2 linked regions of the Caenorhabditis elegans genome follow. The protein of the gene in region 2 purifies or fractionates together with the protein of the main gene of each other region. This does not show direct contact. Each region holds a gene or a part of one and is shown on either strand. Other genes may lie near its edges.

What was found. The genes of interacting proteins can lie anywhere in the genome.
Region 1: the proteins of T24D5.3 (region 2) and C27C7.7 fractionate together in Caenorhabditis elegans (co-fractionation; one large-scale study listed by BioGRID). This does not show direct contact.

The regions. Positions count from the first base shown.
Region 1 is NC_003279.8:11,419,217-11,426,036, forward strand, and holds C27C7.7 (RING-type E3 ubiquitin transferase), read left to right. Parts: upstream 1-2,963; 5' UTR 2,964-2,973; coding exon 2,974-3,039; intron 3,040-3,094; coding exon 3,095-3,637; intron 3,638-3,900; coding exon 3,901-4,170; intron 4,171-4,216; coding exon 4,217-4,384; downstream 4,385-6,820. Other genes in the region: Y53H1C.3 (uncharacterized protein), read left to right, coding at 1-816, 1,951-2,020; C27C7.5 (Galectin), read right to left, coding at 4,816-5,058, 5,277-5,464, 5,511-5,655, 6,530-6,754, 6,800-6,820.
Region 2 is NC_003284.9:12,577,049-12,586,016, forward strand, and holds T24D5.3 (RXT2_N domain-containing protein), read left to right. Parts: upstream 1-3,025; coding exon 3,026-3,036; intron 3,037-3,633; coding exon 3,634-3,750; intron 3,751-4,194; coding exon 4,195-4,239; intron 4,240-4,342; coding exon 4,343-4,399; intron 4,400-4,513; coding exon 4,514-4,564; intron 4,565-5,001; coding exon 5,002-5,058; intron 5,059-5,195; coding exon 5,196-5,249; intron 5,250-5,661; coding exon 5,662-5,768; intron 5,769-5,854; coding exon 5,855-6,165; 3' UTR 6,166-6,716; downstream 6,717-8,968. Other genes in the region: T24D5.1 (DUF1716 domain-containing protein), read left to right, coding at 1-161; T24D5.2 (DUF38 domain-containing protein), read right to left, coding at 7,359-7,521, 7,566-7,702, 8,135-8,443, 8,486-8,701, 8,748-8,808.

The DNA.
Region 1 (6,820 bases), on a different chromosome or scaffold from region 2:
TAACGCCTACCTGAAATACAAAGCTTCTTTAAGCATTGCGACGAAAAGGATCAGCGATCATGTTTACAATTCAACGTATCAAAATTCATTCAACAACCTCCTAGGTGTCTTTAAAAACTCTACATCCGCTGTAGATGATATGTTCGTGATGAAGCGACATATGAAAGCGATGAAGAATTTTCACACAGTGGAAACAGATGCTCTGGGAGAGTTTAAGGATGTAGAATCTTACGCTGAGAATCTTCGCCTAGCAGTTCAAGGACTCGAAAAACTATCCGATTTGGTGGAGAAGAAGGATCAGTTGAAGTATGTCATAGATAATATTAATGTTCTCATAGAATCTGTATCAGTTATGGATGACGTTCCTCATTTGTACAATCTCCAGAAAATAGTACTGTTGAAATCAGAATTCCGGATGCTTCACCTATCATTGGAAGGCTTCGAAGAACAGGCTACAGACTCTATAGAGTCTATTGTTCTCGAGGATTACGAACAACTTTTTGTGCAAGCTCGGAGCATTCCTAGCATCGAGGGAGACTTCGAAGCAATAGGGAATTCTGTTGGAGAGCTGGCACGACTTGTAACAAATGTAACTGTCAAGGAGATTCTGAGAAATGTCAATGTATCACTGAACTCGTTGGATTTGGATTTCACTTCCTACCGTGTGCACTTTGCGAATGTGGCTTTGAGGGAGCTTGACGTATTCTTTGCGAATTTCTCGAAGAAGTTCGAAAAGCCGGAGGAGCTGGATGTTCGGGTGGAGCAGAAGGAAAGGAGAAAGGCAAAGAATCCAAATGAACGTGAGAGATTGGACAGGTTAGTGGCTTCTCACTCGGTGGACCTACAGAAATTGCACGTGGCCACGCGCAGTGTCAGAGTGTCTCATTTCGGCTTGATCTACGTTGATCTACAAAAAATGCGGGAGAAGAGACTGATTTCGCATTGTTAAGAACGTGCTGACGTCACATTTTTGTGGGCAAAAAATTACCGCATTTTTGTAGATCAAACCGTAATAGGGCAGCCTGGCACCAAATAGAACCTGTCTGACAGTACACAGAGTGAGTTGGGAGTTGGTGGGGATGATGTCAAGGTACTGTAGTAGTACTGTAGGGGTACTGTAGGTATACGGTAGGATTACTGTAGTTTGAGAAAATTTGAATTTTCAGCTTTTGAACAGGTATTGGGTTGGGAGTTGGTGGGGGATAATGTCAAGGTACTGTAGTGGTACTGTAGGGGTACTGTAAGTATACGGTAGGGTTACTGTAGTTTGGGAAAATTTGAATTTTAGCTTTTGAACAGATATTGGGTCGGGAGTTGATGTGGGATAATATCAAGGTATTGTGGTGGTACTGTAGGCGTACTGTAGGTATACGGTAGGATTACTGTAGTTTAGGAAAATTTGAATCTTTAGCTTTTGAAGAGATAGTGGGTTGGGAGTTGGTGGGGGATAATGTCAAGGTACTGTAGGTGCACTGTAGGGGTACTGTAGGTATACGGTAGGATTACTGTAGTTGGAGAAAATTTGAATTTTAGCTTTTGAACAGGTATTGGGTTGGGAGTTGGTGGGGATGATGTCAAGGTACTGTAGTAGTACTGTAGGGGTACTGTAGGTATACGGTAGGATTACTGTAGTTTGAGAAAATTTGAATTTTAGCTTTTGAACAGATATTGGGTCGGGAGTTGATGTGGGATAATATCAAGGTATTGTGGTGGTACTGTAGGCGTACTGTAGGTATACGGTAGGATTACTGTAGTTTAGGAAAGTTTGAATCTTTAGCTTTTGAAGAGATAGTGGGTTGGGAGTTGGTGGGGGATAATGTCAAGGTACTGTAGGTGCACTGTAGGGGTACTGGAGGTATGAGGCCATGTAGCTAAAGCTGCTCAGTTACTTGTAGGCTACTAGGCGTGCCTACCTATATTAAAATCCTCAAATCCCTTCTTTAATTCCAGAATTCCTTGGTGGTTCGTGTTCGGATGTGTGACAAGTATTCTATTTGGTGCTCTATTCGCTTTGGCCTAGTGAACTCGAATTTTTATTTCAATAAATTATTTTTCTACGAACTTTTCCTTAACATATGGATTTTTAATAAATTTGGAATTAATTTTTTTAATACAAAAAAACTATATAAATTTTGGCAGTTTCTTTCCAGCCACGTGGTGCCAGGTTGTCCAATCACGGTTTGATCTACAATAAATGCGGGAATTCTCGCCTAGAAAAGTGTGGCGTCAGCACGTTTTAACCGTTCGACTCTGCGTCTCGTTTCCCGCGTTTTTTGTAGATCACCGATTTTCGGATTGAATGAATTTTTTAAAATCTGTCCTGGACGACGGCGGTGCCGTCGTACAGAGCACTTAAATTTTTTTTTTCTGAATTTAAATTTATTTAAATCCTGATTTACACTTTCTCATCAAGAACAACGGAAAAATACGAGAAAAAAAAAATGAATTTTTCGGCAGAAATGTTTTCAAAATTCCATATCCTTCGGGTTTTTAAACAGTTTTGTCCATTTAAAATCGCTGGGAAAGTGGGAAAGTTTATCTAAAATTCTAGATATATTATCTAATCCTATATATTCCCCATTTCCCCTTAACCTCCACCCCAGCACTTACATTCCCACACGCACCTTCTCATCTTATCTACCAAGTTACACCCGACGCCTGTAAGGAGGCAAAAGAGCAGGGTGGCCGTGTAGGTTCACACTTATTTCTATTTTTTTATTCCCTTATTACCCCTTTTTTTATTGTCCCGAGAATTCAGAAAACCTAGGTTTAACCCATCAAAAACTATTAAAATTTGGCAATTTATTGTAAAAATTTACAATTTTGAAACTCCTCTAAATTGGTTCAACGTCTTTTAATTGAGCATTTTTCAGTAAAATAAACATTATTGTTCTTGTATCAAGCTTTTTTGTTTTCTGAATCTTTTTTTTTACTGTTCTAAAAATTTAAATTTCAGCTTCTCCACCGCCAAAAATGAGCACAATAAACTACAAAATGCACGTTTTGGCGAAAATCATAGCGTCGGAAAATGATGAGATGGTAAGTTAAATGAATTTAAATACCAGAAACCCCCTAAATTTCCAATTTATTCCAGATCTCTCCAGCAATCAAAGACTTAAATAACTATAAAGTATCTATGGAAACTCTCGAAAAACACAATATCCCTCTTCTCATAACCCAAAACTGCCCTTACAACCCATTTGCCATGAATCTCAAGTCAATGATTCTTCAGTGGAAAAATGAGCAACTTCAAGCGGAGCAGCCAAGACTTCTCACAAAACTCGCGGAGCATCTCGGATCAAATCGGCATTGCTCTCAACTTGTGCTCCAACTCCTCATAGGTCTTATGAATCTGGAAAACATGGAACTTGTTAGATCCTCCTGTCGAATTCTGAGCAAGTTAGAATTTAAGTTAGAGGAAATTGAGCGACTTGAAATTCTGGAAAGAGCAATGAAAGTTCAGGAGCAAGTAGAAGAAGCCAGTGAGTTGGTGATGAAGATTTTGGAGCAGCTTGAGCAAGAAGATTCCGGAATTTTTGTGGAAGATGAGGAGGATGAGGGGGGTGAAAATCCAATTGTGATGGAAATTTGCATGCTTTATCTGGCAGAATGTCTGAAAACGGAAGACAATTTAAAGGTAAGTAATACATATTAGTTGCTCCAGCCTGGCAGGCAGGCACATGCCTGCCTACAGCACGTGTTGTCAGACTGTCCCATTACGGTTTGATCTACAGAAAATGCGGGAATTTTTTCTCCCGCATTTTTCGCAGATCAAACCAAAATGGGACACTTTGACACCTGTACCAGGCAAGAAGGCATTATTCAACCTAGAATGGTCAGGCAAGCTTCCCAAGTGTGGTACGCCTATTCTGTGCCTACTCTAACTGGAAAACTTTTCAGATCACCAGCGCAATCACCTTGCTCGGCACCCTTGCTCCATCATTAGCTTTATACCGAAAATACAATATTCAATATTTGATCTACCAGCATGGCATCAAATGTGCTCTCGAGCTATGGGATATGCTCGAACACACGGAGCATCTGGAAATGGCTCAGGAGAAGCTGGAGGCCTTCAAAAAATTTATAACGGAAAGTTATAACCAGTCACCGGTGACAGGTACTACGGTAGCTGTGCTCACGGAGCATTTGAAGGAAGACGAGGAGTTTGTGGTGAGCAGAGAGTGAGCTCGAAGGCTTTTAAAATGAATATTTTCAGGTTCGGAGCACACTGGAGTTCTTCCTGAAAATGCCGATTTCGTTGGAGCAATTTGAGCAAAACCGGTCAGAATTTGTCATTCGCGAGCTTGAAGAATCTGATCTCGCAGTTCTAGTTATCAGGAAAATTGAAGAATTAAGAAACAGTAAAAAATTTGATTTCAAATAAAGCCGTTATTGATTTTTAATTTTTAAATTAACAGCAACTAGAAAGTAACAAAAAACAGGAAAATTAATTGACTTGTTTTTTGGCGATTTTACACGGATTTCTGGCTTCCCTCATAAATTGAAATGGAAGAGTTCTGGCCGAACTAGGCCATTTTGGTGGTATCTGGGGTAGATTTACGGTGCGTTGCGTGTCGCGTCGCGACTCGATTTTAGTGGTAAAACTAAATGCATTTGTCCGTGTGGAGTACACGACTTTCCCACGCGTTGTCCGGTGGGCGATTGTCAATAGAGCGCGGCGAAAAATTCAATGAGGAAGGCCAGAACCCCGTGATTTTGTTCCAAATCAGTCTGGATCTGTAGGTAATTGTCGTATTTTTAAATCAGAAAACAATATAATCAGATGATTTTATTATAAGAAAATCTTTCTAAATCTCATCCCAAAATCTCCAATGAATCCACGTACACTGCCACCTGAACCCACAACTTCACATAGTCTTCAGCAGGATTCGGAGTTCTATGTCTATAATCAGCAAACCATACTTGATTAATGTACATTTGTAGATCACTGATGCTATTGGTAATTGTCAAATTGAATTGTTGCCCAGCTGTAAATGGATATCCTCCACTACTCTCATACATTTCCCAAACTCCGTTTCGATGAGTTGACCGGACAACCTGGAAGAAGAAGCATGCCTGCATGCCTGCCGCCTAGGGCTGCGAGGGGCGCAATGCGATAAGGTAGTTGTTCGGCAGTGGCCGACACTTTCGGGGTTTCGCTGGCCACACGCCACCAGCCACCATGGATCTTTATTTAGTGCGGAACCCCGAAAGTGTCGGCCGCTGCCGAACAACTACCTATCGCACTGGGTGCTCGCCTACCGCCTACCGCCTACCTCATTGACTTCTGGTCTCGGGTTGAAATGAAACAGGACTTCTCCAATTGATGATTCTATATTGAGGAACCACCTCTGTTCTGATGGATAACCAATTAACACAATACTCTGTTTCAGTTTAAAATGCCCGTCGGGAAATATAATAGTGTACGGTAGGGCGTAGTTGCTCCCAGCCTGCGTAACTTTATCTGAAATTTGAGATTTTTGAGAATTTTTATATTGTGGGGAAGTCACCTTGATAAGAAAACTTCCATAGATCACCGGTAAAAGTGATGTTATAATTTGAATTGGTGAAAGTTTCCCACATGCTCCGCATTTTCGATGGAAAAGAGCCTGAAATACTTGTAGGGCAGGTAGTATCTGCCGTGGAATTGTTAATCTGAAAGTTTGCTTAATATTATGAGTTATACCCTTCAGGGTTAGCCATAACTGCATATTTTGCCATTCGGCAAATCGGAAAATTGCTGGTTTGCTAATTTGCCGGAAATTTTGATTCGACGATTTGCCGAACATCCAGAAGTTTTTAGAGGGATTTTTTTACAAGACGGAAACACTTAAAATTGTGCCTTTTTTTTGGCAATTGCCGTTTTCCGGCAAATTCGGCGATTCCGGCAATTTGCCGGTCTGCCGATTTGCCGGAAATTTTTAATTCCGGCAATTTGCTAAATGTTTTCAATTCCGGCAATTTGTCGATTTAACGAAAATTTACATTTCCGGAAATTTGCCATTTTCCAGAAATTTTCAATTCCGGCAATTTGCCGATTTTCCAGAAATTTTCAATTCCGGCAATTTGCTGATTTTCCAAAAATTTACAATTCCGGCAATTTGCCGATTTTCCAGAAATTTTCAATTCCGGCAATTTGCTGATTTTCCAAAAATTTACAATTCCGGCAATTTGCCGATTTTCCAGAAATTTTCAATTCCGGCCATTTGCCGATTTGCCGGAAATTTTCCATTCCGGCAATTTAAATGTTCCTCCCTTTAAACTCATGAAAAAGTGAAAAATAACATATAGAAATTATCATTTTAATTACAAATTTTCGTGAAAAAAACCTAGTAAAATTTCAATTTCAATACATTTTTAATTTCCAAATTTTATACTCGAAAAGTGAACGTTTTTTTTTAAATAAAAAATTTATAATTTAAAGGAAAATTACAATTTTCTTTTCGAATGAAATTTAGGGATTGATTTTTTTTTTGGATTTTTGGATTAAAAAAAATCCAAACTTTATGCCAAGAAAAATGGCACAAACCTTCATTGCGACTTTCAAATTCTCCTCTGGGTCCAACTTTTCTACTGTTGAAACATCACCAAAATCGAATAAAGTACACGAACTGTCATTTCCGTATGCCAAAACACAATACATAGAATTGTAACAATACTTGACGCAAGTATCCCACAACACCTGATCTACTGTGCTCCCGGGGCTCATTTCTGTTGGACGACCCCAGGACACTATCATAGTGTAAGTGTACACCTGGAATTAAAAACTATAGATATAGAAAATTGGGGTTAAAATTACCATATTGACTAGACTAACTAG
Region 2 (8,968 bases):
ATGCCGTTACTCTCTACACTTTGATGAGCAATAAGATCAAAATTGAACTTGATACAGTTCTCCTCAGTCTTATTCTCCATTTGGAATTTAAATTCCGTCAACTTAATGCTGTGGAGTTCGCCACGTTTGAAGCCGAAATGAAGGCTGAGCTGGGTCTTTAGATTGTGAGCTGGTTGGACGCTTTTTGCGTATTCTTTAATTTAATATTGAGATTTTTCTGGTGTTTTAGTTTTTCAAATTTTCAAATTTCGACACTTAAACCTGTTCTCCCAAATTTTATGTGATTCACCATTTCTCTCGATCATGTTTATTATTCCGTGAAATTACCACCTCCATGATGATATTTTCTTTCCAAATTTACCAATGATTAAAAATTTACTGATTTTATGTAATTTGTGCACAGATCTGGTTTTTGAATCTTTTTGATTTTCATTTCCACCCGATTTCTTCCCTTGCAGCTCCGATTTGCTTTAATTTCTTAATTTTCCGTCTTCGATTCCTTACTTTTGTCTATCAACCTTTCCAATTATGATAACTTCGCCCCGTTTCTATTTTGTTGCAATATTTTACACAGTTTGATTAATTATACAAGTTCATTCAAACAATTTTCGTGCACGAAACTGATTGTTTTTTTGTTTTGATCTTTTTCAATTTCCACTTGATTCTTGTCTCATCCCAATTGCTCCGGCTGGCTCAAAACTCTGACCTCTTCATGTATGTTTTTTTTTCAACGTTACCCGTAAATCATTTCATTTATGATATCTTCATCCCGTTCATACTTTGCATGTAATGTGTTGCTCAAAACTTACAGTGTTCTTGTACTAAACTGACATTTTATGTATTCTCTGATTTTCATTCCCATTCAATTTTTTCTCAACGTGGCTTCCCCGATTTTGTATTTGTGCATGTTTGATTTAAACTTATTGTTCTTCCATAAAAACATTGATTCGATATATTCAGATTTATGGATTTCAGGTAGGGGTGGCAAGAGTGCGACCTAGGTCGCTAGGTCGCTGTTTTCATTTAGGTCGCATCGCGACCTAGGTCGCATTGCGACCTGCGACCTAGCGACCTAGGTCGCTTTGCGACCTGCGACCTAGCGACCTAGGTCGCATTGCGACCTGCGACCTAGCGACCTAGGTCGCTTTGCGACCTGCGACCTAGCGACCTAGGTCGCTTTGCGACCTGCGAGCTAGCGACCTGGGTCGCATTGCGACCTGCGACCTAGCGACCTAGGTCGCTTTGCGACCTGCGACCTAGCGACCTAGGTCGCTTTGCGACCTGCGACCTAGCGACCTGGGTCGCTTTGCGACCTGAAGTACTGACATTTTGTGCCCTTTCGGTTTTGATTCACTTGAGTTGTTAAAATCTGTATAACTCGAAAACTACATAAGATTGCAGAATATGTATACTAACAAATTGCTACAAATCATTTATTTTACATTGTTTTCGATTTCTTATCCATAAGACACCTTGTCGAAAAAAGTTAGAACAGCCGACATAGGCCGGATTTGCTGCTGACTAAAATTGTTTCAACTTGAAAACTATGGTACTTATGGGTTTCAATGATTTGTAGCAATTTGTTAGTATACATATTCTGCAATCTTTAGTTTTCGAGTTATACGGATTTTAACAACTCAAGTGAAGCAAAACCGAAAGAGAACAAAATGTCGGTAATTCAGGTCGCAATGCGACCTAGGTCGCTAGGTCGCAGGTCGCTAGGTCGCAGGTCGCTAGGTCGCAGGTCGCAATGCGACCTAGGTCGCGACGCGACCTAACCCTCTAGGTCGCAGGTCGACCTAGGTCGACCTATAGCCACCCCTAATTTCAGGAATTTGAGAGTTTCAAGGTAAACAAGAAAAAACAAAAGGAACAATTGAAAAATCGACATCCAAAGTTTTTGAGACTTTTATTTTGAACAACTTCAGGAAGCTATCTAATTTTTTATTGCGAAATACAAATTTACCGTATTTTTCCAACTTGTCTCATAGCTCTATCGCTTCACTTTATCAGTTAGTACTTTTGTCATTTTTGGTTTTACCAAAGTTGCAGCATATGAAATACTTTTTTTTAAAAATGTTTCTCCACAGTTTTTCCGTTTTACCGGCTTACTTTTTTGGCAACAAATTGTTTTGTTTTCAAAACATTGGCTTTCGTCCTCGGATTTTTGTAAGACTACGTAATAACACTAATTCAAATTCTTTTATGTTTCCCAAAAAGCAGGCAACTTGATTTGAGAAAATTATGGTTATAAATTGCAATGTTGTGCTCTGACAAATGTATTCATATATTTATGCATTTATTTCCTTGGCCTTTTTTGTCAAATGAAAATATTTTCAAATCAAGATAAATCAAGAATAAAGGCTGAATGTACACACTGTTGATTTTCATACATATTTTCTACTATACTTTTTTTTAGATCCCCAAGTAACTATGACCTTGTGGTTAAGACTTTTTGAGAACTCTTTTTTTACGAACAATAACCATCTCACTAACGAGATATGTAATTTGATTTACCACCTTTCGGATACGCGCGTTCACCATTCCAGTAATGTAAACATATTCATTGATTGGTGCATCCGCTTTCGTTACTGTGAGCCCCTCTCCTCTCAGGCCTCCTTCCTTCAACTGTTGCTGCGCCCATGCCCATAACACTTTCTCTCTATCTCTCTCCCACTCTATCTCTAGCACACTAACTGATCAACATAAACCATGTCGCTCATCTTTATTTTGTCTTTTTTTTTTACTTTAATTGTGATTCAGGACAAATTAACAGACATTTCTCGCTACTAGTTTTTGTATGGAAGTAACTTATATCGGCTGTTCGAACGGAGCAAAGAAATTCATTCAAAACTGCATTTACTCGGTTTAAGTGACTCTGTTATTGCCGCTGGTATGATTCCACTTCTGTTTCTGTACGAAATCATCCCTTTAAAAATTAATTTATGTTTCTGTAAACATTCTGGCAAGAATAATTTTTTTCAGAAAACTTCATCGTCAATTTTTTTTGTTGGAAACAATCAACATGCCCAAGCGGTTAGTTTTCATAAATTTTTTATCCTAGGTGATTTCAACGTTGCAAACATTTTGAAAATTAAAAAAAACTAATGCAACGAATAATTGTTGCTTTTAATATGCTTTTGTTCTCAGACAGGAAACTCGGCTATTTTCTAAGCTATTGAATCTAGTTAAATAAGAAATATTTGAAACGGAGTTTTAACTGTATGTAAGTTGGCATAGTTTTAGTTTATAAAATTTAAAAGTTTAATAAGTCTTTACTACTCTAAAAAAGGGAATATTTGAAAATAAATTCAGAAATTGTTTTCCAGTAACTGATGGTTTGAGGAAACTCGTTTCTTTTTTAACATTCAAAATGGACCACGCCAGTATATGGGTTTTTATGTATGGGTTTTTGGGACCAACTCAATACACATATTATCTTAATTTCATTCAAAATAATTTTTCGGGGAGGGGCTCCATTTGTTTTTTAAATGTTTGGTGTCACAACCAACATTGAAAAAAAGTAGTTCCCATTTTACATTTTCAATTTTTTTAAAAGTATCCAACATATATACATCTTACATTTGAAATATAATTGTTTTGAATGCAACATTAAATAAAAGTTATTTTCAGAAATAAAAACGACGAACACGATGAGCTAGCAAAAAGGAGAAAATCAAACAACTGGCTCTACGAGCTTGATGAACTATTTGAGATCGAAAATATCCAGAAAAAGAATGCCGAATACATGTAAGTCCTTAGGTTAAAAAATGAAAAAAGCGCTTCATACTGATTTCTTTAAAAGTGGACTACGGCTTGTGGGGATATGATTAAAAGTTATTTAAATCGAGCTAAAATGATCAAAGATCACGAAAGCATTTTCAAAAAAAAATTGGTATTATTTCAAGTAAAAAAACGGAGAAATCTCAGTTTGCACTATTTTTTAGAAGTCGTCAATCAAAAAATGTGTTTTCTTCCAGTTTCACGTTCTAGGTAGTTTTGAAACATTCATACTTCAATATTGTCTGCGACACTGCTTTAAAGTTTTCGACACACTCAGTTTCCACTACTTGTCGGTTCGAAATAAAAAAGTTTCGAATTTGTTTTGAAAAGTTTTATTACAGTCATTAAATTATTTTGGCATTGTATTCGTTTGTAATACTGTTCATTTATATATTATAATTGCAATTTCAGGTTGTTCAAATCGTCACCCCAGAAAAAAAAGAACGTGGACTCCAAGTAAGTGTTTATTACATATATCAAATTTTTTCTTAACAGAAGTAATGTTTGAATTAATTAAACATATCAAAATTTTTAAAAGTTTAATTTTCTAAATTTTTAGAGTCGTGCTCAAACCAGACGTCAACCAACGTGATGTCTTTTTGGAAACTGGAAACAGGTGAGTAGAATTTTTTTTTTTTTTTTGGGTTAAAAAAATTTTTATTTGAATTATACTAAATCCTAAACCGAAACTAAATCCGTTTGTCATATTATCCAATTTATATATTTGCAGTTACAATTCGTTCAAATCGTCAGTCCAGAAGCAAAAGAACCCGGTCTCCAAGTAAGCGTTTATTACCGTATATTCTCTATACGTGCTGCGATGCAGCACTAAATTCCAGAAACTTTTTGAATGCAGCACTATTATAGACTTCAGTACTACTGGAGGCTGCAGCACTAATTTTCGCACCCCTTTGTCAATTGGAGATCGCTAGCTTTTAGTCACAAAATCTCATATTTTAAACACAAATTCATAAGGAGTGTGAATTTGTGTAGCAAAAATAAATGATACTTCAATTATGTTTATAAATTAAAAGTAATCAAAAACAAAATAAACAAAAACATTACCCAAAATTTCGAAACTGTTGAGATGACTCTCGCAATAAAAAAGGGGTGCAGCACTAACTTTCTGAAGGCCTGTTGGGGTAAACATTTAGAAAATTTAGAGCGCGTGAAATAATTTTATTATCAAGGTTTTATTCTAATTTTACAACATTTTAGGGTGATACTCCAACCAGACATCAGTCAACTCAGTGATTCTTCAGATGCGGAGGACAGGTAATACGAATCGGTTTTAAGTTTCACGTTTACAAATAGTACTGGAACGAATAAAAAATTTTATTTTCAAATACGACAACGAACATTTTTGATTTAAACATGAAAAGAACGAAAAAGACAAAAAAGTCAATTTTTAGCTGTAAATATGGAATCGAAATCTGGGAAAACGAGGAAAACTGCCAATTGCCAGTGTAAGTCGAAAAGTTTAATACAATTTTAAAAATTAAATTTCAATATTCTTTCAACAGAAACGCGAACTTTTGAATTTGGCTTCTTCGGGTTATGCTTAAATTTTTTAATTCTTCAAAATGAAAATAAAATTCAAAAAAATTTCACGATCTTATTCGAATTTAATTACTTTTTTTTTGAAATTAAGACAATTTTTCCCATAATTTCCTTAGAATTAGCCGTTTTCAAATTAGGACTAGCGGTAGCAAAGTGCTAATGAAGAATATACATACATACTTTTCCAGAGTCGAAATTAAGGAAAAATTTTTAAAATGTTAAAATTGAAGTTATCAAGCCTACTTAGAATGATTTTCTTCTGATAAATCACATTTTTGCCTATTATTGTTTTTAGTGTTAAAAAGGTTTTAATTGCAGCAAACAAACACTTCCTGAACAGCCGGAAGAGTTTCACATTGGCCGTATCAAAGCCAATCTGAAATTTCTCATGCAACAATTGAAATATCTCTCAGGTTGTGAAAATGGTAGGTTTGAATTTGATAAATACATTTTCTGTTTATAAATATTTCACACATTGCCCTGTTTTTAATAGTCACTTTAATTTTTACAGGGGAACAACACGCTAACGAAATTTTCAAAAGCCTGCCCGCCCAAGTGTGGGACCGAGCATCTCTCAAGCGAGCAGAAATTGCTGAGGATCTTTTGATCGCTGAAGAATTTATCGAGGCTCGGCGTGGTCAGCTTGAGCAGGATGATAAACTCAAAGTTTATTTATACAATGTTTTGGAAAATAAACTGAAGAAGGAAAATAATCCAGTCCTTCTCACTATTGTTCTTCATTTGGAGAATAAATTTCGGCAGTTGAATGCCGCGGATTTTGCCGCTCTAGAGGCTGCGATGAAGGCTGAACTGTGTTTCTAGATTCCAAATCGGTTTTGACATTCCCGATTATCCTATTTAAATTTTTAGAATTTAAAATTGTTGTTGTTTGTTGATACTATCCTCATTACTATGTAATATTGTTGATACTTTTAATCTCTTTTTTCCCGTCATTAAATCTCTTATTCTCTTGCTCAGATGTTCTCTTTTCCCGAAAAACATCCTTTCCCTTCTACCGTTTCCATTGTTTTCTTCTTCCCTGGCCGCAATTTCATTATTCAGATCTATTGTTTTCTGAACGGACCAATTTATCTCATACTTGATTCACGACCTCAATTGAACCATCGGAGTTTGTTCACGTTCCGTTTGATTAAAATCGTCCAACTCCAATTTCAAGCTCAAATATGGTTTCTTCCCTTTTCGGTCCGCTTAATTTCTTTCTCATTTTATTTGTTCAAGTTGGCTCCGAACGTTTCAATTTTCTTTCATTTTTTCTTACTGTTGTCCTTTAACATTTACAAGTATAATATCTTCACTCTTTTTCACATTTTTTATATTCTATCTCCCAAATCATAACTGTTGTTTTCTAATAAACAGAAACAACTATTACTTTATATATTCAGATTTATTGATTTCATAAACTTCAGATCTGCAGCTGCAAATTACAAACAAGACAAAAGGAGAAGGGACAGGACTACACGGCAACCTTGCTACTACTTTCGTATTCATTATTCCAGAGGGTTTCACAGTGTTATGGTTTGATATTGGGGGTTTTACTACACATGACTAATTTGAAAATGTCTCAAGAAAAAAGAAGCACGGATAAGGAGTAAAAATTGCAGTGGGAAAATTATGATTATGATTAAGACAAATGGATGGAACATTTAAAAGTAAAAAAATCAGGGATAGATCGTTATGTAAGCAGGGTTTTCAGGTTATGCCATTTGGTCAGGGAAATGGGAGTTTCAAGAACGGAAGACAGACAGCTTGTAAACTTTAAACAAAAATAGTGAATTGGCATGTTAAGAGAACTCCTAACGGTACTGGAGGCATTCTAGTTGTAATGAATGTTTGAATTCCAGTTTTGCATTACCACTAGAATGAGTTCGAAATATGGAAATTTGATTACTTTAGAAAAAAGTTTAGCACTTAGAAATTAATCTCAAGTTTCAAACACTACGGCTAATGAACGTAAAAATTTGTTCTAATGATATTTGGTTAAGAGATCAAAGATTTTATGGCAACTGGGTGGTATCATGGACGAGAAGATCTGGCTTCATGGACTCCTTGAAGCATTCAAAGTAATATTTGTTGATAATCACTACCAATCGTTCATTTGGTTTAGTGGTTGGCAAGCTTACCAAATCAGCTTCAAAGACGTTGATTGGAATCATTCCACTGAAAACGTCACTATTAGATGAAAAATGTACTGGAAAATTTACTTCTTGCGGACATATGCCATCTCGTCGTCATATGCGGTGTACTTCAAGCCACTGAGCACTTCCTTCATCTTCCAGTTTCCGTGCCGACATCCCACTGATGCGAAGTAGTTGTCCGGAATATCATCAGCAAGACGCGCCTAGAAATCAAATTACAGTTATTTCGTTTCACTTAAAAGAGGACTAATGGTTCTGGGAGTTTTTTTGTTGCTTGTGTCTAATTTGATCTAGAATCATTAACATTTTGAAAGAAGAAGATTTTCGTTCAATTAGTTGTATTTCTATACAAAATAAATGTTGATCGGATAGTTCTTTTTTCTATAAACACTAAAAAGCAAAGAACCGAAAAGCTTGGAAAACTGTGCTCCAGGCCGTAGGCAAAGAACGGATCGACTAAGTATCCTAAGTAAAAAAGTATTTGGTATTATTCATGAGAATTTTTTAATTAATTAAATCAATCATCTTTCTCAAAATTATAACACTGACAAGCGATATCATGAAGATTATAGAAAATAAGTTGCATTGCTGATTGTGTCTAACTAATCAAGTTGCTCTATGAATTCCCGCATTACCTTAATGAATCTATTGATTCCTTGATCAGTGATTATATTAGAAGTGATCTCAAAATTTGTGGCAGTGATGGAATTGAGCTGATCATCAGTAATCTTTGAAAGTCCGTCTAGTTTCAGGTTGGCAGCATTGCGCACTTGCTCTAGTTCCATGATATTTCCGTACTCGCCGGAGCACATTAGGGTGAACTTATTGAGCATTGGACGATGAAGCTTCACAATCTCAATGATGTTCGGGAAAGAATCCATGACAACAGTAAGGTTTTCGGCGGTAATTGTACTTACACACTTTGATAGATCCATCTCTCCCATCTAAAATGTTAGGTAACCTTGTCGAATTTAGCAATTATCTACCTGCTGCGAGCGATTGGTTACAAACAATGATTTGTAGACGCGAATATTCTGGCTGAGCATATTTCTCAGCTCCTCAATTGCCATATTCCGATTGCGAAACAGAGTGTTGTTGGAGATTCCCATGTGGACGGTGGAGTCACCATCGCTACGTATGAGAATGCTGTCGTCGCGCTCACTGAACGTCATTTTGTAGGCGTCGAGCCGAATTGTGTATTTCTGCAATATGAGGATGTGATTGTGTGACAAATCAGCAGTTTCTTACATTTTTATATGTAGTGTTTTTGAGCTCGTGACAGAATTGAAAGTATTTCGCCAGAACTTCCCTGAAAAAAAGATATATGATAAAAATATATGATGAATATTACTAAATGTGTCCAACGCATAGAACGACTATTTTTCCAGCCAAAATTTGGCGCCCAATACGTGACAATCATTTAAAAAAAAAATAGCAAAATTGGGTTAAAAACGCTCCCTAATCTAAAA